Linked DNA regions of Styela clava. The protein of the gene in region 1 binds, or shares a complex with, the protein of each later gene. Links are inferred from orthologs where the notes say so. Each region holds a gene or a part of one and is shown on either strand. Other genes may lie near its edges.

The links. The genes of interacting proteins can lie anywhere in the genome.
Region 2: actin-related protein 2/3 complex subunit 3-like (region 1) and actin-related protein 2/3 complex subunit 4 share a complex: the UniProt entries of both Caenorhabditis elegans proteins name them as parts of the arp2/3 complex. The link is inferred for Styela clava from reciprocal best matches to the Caenorhabditis elegans genes arx-5 and arx-6.

What each region holds. Positions count from the first base shown.
Region 1 is NC_135257.1:4,072,169-4,075,415, forward strand, and holds actin-related protein 2/3 complex subunit 3-like, read left to right. Parts: upstream 1-1,204; 5' UTR 1,205-1,235; coding exon 1,236-1,778; 3' UTR 1,779-2,702; downstream 2,703-3,247. UniProt on the Caenorhabditis elegans protein: Functions as a component of the Arp2/3 complex which is involved in regulation of actin polymerization and together with an activating nucleation-promoting factor (NPF) mediates the formation of branched actin networks.
Region 2 is NC_135255.1:6,168,745-6,172,506, forward strand, and holds the start of actin-related protein 2/3 complex subunit 4, read right to left. Parts: upstream 2,845-3,762; 5' UTR 2,709-2,844; coding exon 2,202-2,708; 3' UTR 1-2,201. UniProt on the Caenorhabditis elegans protein: Functions as actin-binding component of the Arp2/3 complex which is involved in regulation of actin polymerization and together with an activating nucleation-promoting factor (NPF) mediates the formation of branched actin networks.

The sequences.
Region 1 (3,247 bases):
AGCAACTTCAGGCTGTTAATGCAGCAATCTCTAAACAAATTGCTTCTGCTTTATGAAACAGCAAAAGTAAACAGAAGACTGTCATGGTGTAAGTGTGGAGCAATAAATCGCATTCCACATCCTATAGTCAAATAGAGCTGTCTGGTTGTGTATGCAAGCAAGGATATGACGATTTCTATTCTAGGGTAGTCGTTCAAGTATTCAGGAATCATGAACACAGACTTCTCACCAGAGCCTCACTACCTCAAAGAATGGTAAAGGTGTTCAGTTATTTTAATATTTCACAGTAAATATTTCGACCCATAGTTGCTCACTGTAATAAGCGTTAGGAATACGCTCACCATCTTATCTGTGACTTTGTGATGATGACCCTGTGTTCACAGGTTGAAATCCTGAAGACCAGCGACTCCCAATAGGTGCGCCGATTTGCTAAGTGCTCTGCCTGTCCGCGAAAATTAATAGAATTGTGTTAAACATAACTAATATAGGATTGAATATTTTACATATTGTATTTTCATTGTTTCTTAGTTTGAATGCTGTGTATACTGGAATATGAATTCACCTTTCTATGTTGTTTACTTTCCTTACGTAGTAGTGTCTGCCTCTGTTGTTACGTAACAATAAAGGTGAATACTACTTGCTGCAATTTTTCGCGAGCTGCAGTTTAGTTATTTTCTGAACCGATTTTAGCGAACATGAGTGATTTTTATTTTCTGAACCAAGTTTAGCGAAAATGAACGATTTTTTAGTATTTCAAGGGAAAATCAGTCAAAGATGAGAAAAAGGAGTTGTCCTTTTGGCTTTATATATTAGGCCTACATGTTTACAAACTTTATAAGGCATAAGGTAAACATTAACGATCACAAAATTGAGTTTTATTTAAAGGCAGCAATTTTTTTCATGTAATTGCGCCGTGAGTTTTTTTCTTAATAATTTGGCTCCACCCCACAAACAAAAAGTATGGGAATCGCTGGCGTAGTTTAAGTGACAAACTGCAAGTTCATAACAAAGTGTGATTTCTGTTCACCCTATGTTTTTGCCCTCACACCTCTTTGCCTTAAATAATATTAATTGTATTGCTCACAAAGTATTTCATGAAATGTAGTTGGTGGATCTAAAAGTCATTTGAGCCAGAGTTCAATAATAAGAGTTTAATTTCTCTTGACTTTTTTCATTACAATATTCATACTAATAAATTAACACTTTCCTAATACTTTTCAACAGGAAATATCATTATGCCAGCTTATCACTCTAACCAAATACCTGCCAAGTCAATTGCTAATGTAGGTTTGCTGCCATTGCGATGTACCACAAAGTTTCGAGGACCTGCTCCTAGAGCCCCTCCAAATTCTGAACAAGATGTTATTGATGAAGCGCTGTATTTCTATCGTGCAAACATATTTTTTCGTAATTATGACATCAAAGGAGATGCAGATCGCACTTTGATCTATGTTACCCTGTATCTACAACAATGTTTGAAGAAATTGCAGAGAACCACTACCAAAGAACAAGGCAGGAAAGAGATGTACAGTCTTGCTGTGTCTCCTTTCGATATCCCAGGGGACCCAGGATTTCCTCTTAACGCAATGTATGCAAAGCCTCAATCTCGACAAGATGCGGATCAGATGAAGGCATACTTCCAGCAGATTCGACATGAAGCTGGAGAAAGGCTCCTGGATAAAGTTTATGATCCGAGCACTAACTCGCTAAATAAATGGTGGATCTGTTACTCCAAGCGACGCTTCATGGACAAAAGTTTGTCTGCACCTGGCCAATAATGTTGCTGTGGAACTTGGACAACAATTCACTATAATGCATATTCCAGAAATTAAAAAAATTATGTGTATGAACTGTATGGGCATACAATACATCACATGGTTATGTCCGAACAATGACTAAAAATTTGTTCCACTTGTATAATCATTATATCTATATTGTATCAGTGTTGAGTGCAAGCCGCTGAACATTTAGCCACAGGTTATCAGAGTTTCAATAACTTTTTAAAGCTAGTTACTGCACTGCCGATATATACCATGAGTCGAGTTGCAGTAATTTGCATTAGCAATAGTGAAGTGCTGAAATAAAGTTCACATTGTTTTGCGATGAACTAATGCTTTTTTGAAACCCAAACTGAGATTATCATTGTGTGACTTGCTTACTCATACTTCAGAAATGTTTTGATTCAATGACCCAAATTTATTTATTCAAAGCAGTGCCCCTTCATTTACCGCCTGTAGCATGCAAAAGATGTTGATACTCTTTTATTGCTGCTCTCAAATTTTGTAATTTGTTCATGTCATGATTATATGAAGTCATTTTATGTCAAAGGCATATGTAATGATAAATTGATACTTATATTCGTGGCAAATGCTGATTTTTCGGGGCTCCCGAAGTATGCGAACCAAGATGGCGGACATCGGAATGTAATATGTGTACTAGGTTATGGTTAGGCCATAATATTAGGTATAAATACTACGGGAGGCTCTTGGCTAGTCTTCGAACTGATAATAGGACTAAAATAAGAAAAATTGTAAAAAAAATTATCGCTTAACCCTAACCTGTTACCCATGTTACGTTACGATGTCCGCCATCTAGGTTCGCATACTTCGGGAGCACCGATTTTTCTAATGTTGATTTTTTTCAATACTCCACTTCAATATTGAAGATATATTAATCATGAATAAATAGTAAATGGCATTCCATCCACTATTTTATTATCATGAAATTCACAGAATTCAGTGACCCGAAATCTTATGAATGAAATTTTAGAACAGACTACAGATTGAATGGAAGGTTCGTATACGCCAAAGTTTTTTTTAAGTCTGGGTGACGTAGTCTAAATTTTTTTCAACAACGAGTCTAGAGTTGATTTTTTTTCATCCAGCAGTCTAGTCTTAAATTTTCCCCGTCCCCTGCTCGTTGCCGCTAAATATTCATTTTTTTCACTCCAGGCAATTATGATCCTTATTTTAAAGAACATAAACATGTGAATAAATAGATATAATTAAAATTAAAACAGTAAATACCGCAATTCCAGTAAAATCACAGCTAATTCGTTTATTACTCAAGATCCGTATGTCAGTGACAAAGCACAGATAGATGCAGGCGCGGTAAATATAAAGATGTAATATCGCAACGCTCCCAATGATAGAAGTGAAACAACACCAACAGCTTTGGATATGACAGCGGCCCTTAGGACTCAAAAAGGGGTATAAAATAAATTGGCTATAAAATGATTAGTATTGAC
Region 2 (3,762 bases), on another chromosome or scaffold:
GCTTTGTTGATAATTTGCATTACAGATAAATTTTGAAAATGCACAATTTTAAAGTTGCCACAAAAAATTTACAATGAAAAACGACATTGTTCAATCATCAATGAATTAATCAGCTAGTTTCAATGAAAAAAGAAATAAGAGCAAGAACGATTGTTTATCACATAATTAATGAATACAGTATATCATGGAATAATATCATTATTACCATTTAATAGTAGAATATGAATTTGATATCCAATAATAAATTTCCCAACTTTTTTCCAACTAATTGAATTTAATATAACAGCAAAACAAGATTTTGAATGTAACTATTGTAATGCAGTCATAGATGTTACATGGGTGATGTTTCCCTAATCAACATGGAAAACAGGGGTTTTAGTACCTGAAAAAATTGCGATAAATTCGAAACATTTACTAAAATTGATTACATCAGCTTGCTTAAAGTTAATGGCATCTGAGAAAGATGTTTTTCAAAGATCCATCAATGACATAAAAAAAAAGACGATTTCCTAAAATTTTGTAATTTTTCTGTAAAATCCAATTTTATGTCAATTTTTACAACAAATAGAAATTATTCGAATGATTACCTATCTATATTGAAAATTCCAAAAATATACCTTCTAGTACATTAAGTTTGATATCAGTTATGTAACATCCAAAAATGATAGCATAATATGTTACTATGGTAACGATTCCTACCCTGAAAATACTGGCCACAAAAGTTAACATAACTATATTTGGTCCTAATATTTAACAACAGGATCCTAAGGCAGTGCCTTGAAACAAACAAAGGGGGAACATAATAGAGCTGAAATCTAAAAATTAAGTCAGTCAGAATCTCAATTGGAAAATATATTTAAAGTTTTTGTTTCCACAATCAATTCATTTCGCCAAAACTCTGTGCAGTATATATGGATGAATGCTGGCATTAGAGGTCAGGGCTACCGTTGTGAAAAATTCAATGAGGTGGCCTGGTCAGATGAGAACAAATTACCATATATCCTCGCATATAAGCCGAGTTCAAAACTAAAAAAAAAGTTGTCAAACTAAGGTGTCGGCTTATAAGCGCATAACTCTGATCGCACTTGAACTAAATGACATTTCATAAATAAATACCGCAAACTTAAACTGAACGATATTATCATTAGCAACACCAGGCTAACAATAAAACCGCGATAGATACTAAATAACATTTAGAAGCTATTTAATAGGCTGGAAATGCAAAAACTTCCCGTTATTCTCGGTCACTGTCAATGGAAACAATTATTTATCACACAATTTGCTGTGGTCGCCCAGATATGTTAAATATTCTATAATAATTGTAAAATACTTTCAATCAAACGTCCACGACGTGTTATAAGTACTGCAAGTCGGCGCTGATATAAATCCTTTCATGTCGGCAGTAATTTAGTCGCGTCACAATGGGCTGTCTTCGATTACGATAAAACATAAAATATAATAATCGAAAAATGTTTTTAATTAAAACGTGGACAGGGGCGCTAGAATGTGTGTGCGATATTCAATATTAATATAAACACAAAACGATACTAGAAGGTAGCGAATACCGATATTTGAATATTATTAAATTCGAATTGAACATCATTGACTGTTATACGTGCATACGGTGTGTTACGATTTGTAGGGTCAGCTTATATGAGAATTTTTATAAATTCACTATTTTAAAGCGGTTTTTGTGGGGTCGGCTCATATGCGGGGATATAGAACATGGGAGCCAACCAGACAAGATAATAAAATAAGCAGCTGGTTATTTCAATTATAACAATAAGCATCAATTAGATATTCTGCATATAGTAATAAAAATAACCTATCCACTCTTAAGATCGTTGATATATATAGTTAGACATGGGAGAATCAAGCATTAATATACCAAGCATATGAATTTTATTTAAAGAGAAAACTGAAATTTTTTGTTATCAAGTTTTACCTTTATTTGGCTTCATCAAATTTAATCAGTGATTCAAATCATTGAAATCGGAGAAAAAATATCATTCTCGTAAAATTGATATTGACTAAACACTTTGGATATTATGGACTATATCATAATTATTATACTGGATAAATATAATGATAAATTTAAAACATCTTTCATAGAGAAAAAACCTTCGTTTCAAGGCATTTTCCAGTTCATTCATTGTAGATGCAAAGAGTACTTGAAATTCTAGTTCTACAGCATCTTATATTCAAAACTTCTTTAAAAATTCTTCAGCACAGATTCTGGCACGTGCGTTGACAGCTAATTTCATTTCGCTTATTTCTTTGTCAATTTCTTCCATAAAGTGAATGACGAAATCAACCAATTTATGCTTGTACATTTTCTCTGTGTGAAAATTAGTAATCAAGAAACTAATGTCGTACCCAGCGACTGGTTTTCTACGTAGAACATCGAAACTTTCAGCTCTCATCATCATAAACCTTGTGAATTTGCTACAAAGAATTTGTTCCAATTCGTCAGCTTGTTTTATGGCGATGCTGACGCGGATTGAATTGATTGAAGCTTCTATCATGACTTTTTCTTTTTCGTTCCTCGCAATGACCAACGGCGTCATCAACAATTCTTTACTGCTACGAACTTCGACTTCTGGTTTATTATGCCTTTCCACGACTTGAGAATTGAAATTCTGGAGACACGTAGCAGCTGTTAAAGTAGACTTTACAGCATTCAGGTATGGTTTGAGAGTTGTCGACATCTTTTTTTTTCTTATTAATAATAGAAAACTGCACTAAATTTGTAACAATATTCTAATATTAGATTGTCAACAATCTGTAATGAAACGTAGAGGTTTACTAGAACAATTGAACGAAGACGAGCATGTTGTAATATTTTAGGAATCAAATTGAAAAATAAATGCAATACATTGTACAAGGGTATGAACATACAAAATTGTGACTAAAAAATCACCAAAAAACACAACGAAACTGTTATTATCAGACTTCTTTGAATGCTTGAAATATAGACTCATATCAAAAAACAGACAGAAATGGAAAATTAAGTTCAAAGACAGAAAAGAAACCTTAATTTTAGCGTAATTTATGATCTACAATAACAGTGTGGGTATAAAAATAGTGTGACATCCCCACCATAGACTTACAATTTTATCAGTGAGAATATTTCCCTGTTAAATCTGTCATGTCAATATACCATATTTTTATTACTAATAAAGAATTTGATATGGTTCTACACAAAGTTTGTCAAATCTAAGTACAGTTTCCAAACAAAAATATTTAAACGAAATATTGAAAAAATTAAAGTAACACAAAACTAATATACTATTGTCGACTATCATACTCTATTTGTTCCATGATATAAAACTACAAAGGCAGACAACACACTGACAACATAAAACATGTGATGCAAATGTAATGATTCAACTAATGAAATTAGTTCAGATATAGGTATCAAAAGAAACTATTGCCTGGCAAACAGAAACAAAGCTATGGCAAAACAAGCAGACAATAAGTATAAAATTTCAGTCAAAAAAATTTAATATTTGAAAAAAATTTTCAACCTTGAGAATGAATGCCATATAAATCTTCAAGTCAATCATTTCTAGGCGGTGGTGGCTATCAAATCAGCAATAAATAAGCAGAAGCTGACATTGAGATATTATTTACTGATTCCAAACTTGGCAGTGGAATTATAATAACAGGCAGAGCTAATCCATTCTGGCAATAATATTAGAAAAAAAGAATAACATCGTAAACAAAATTTGTGAATCTATTGTCATACATGATACAAAAAAA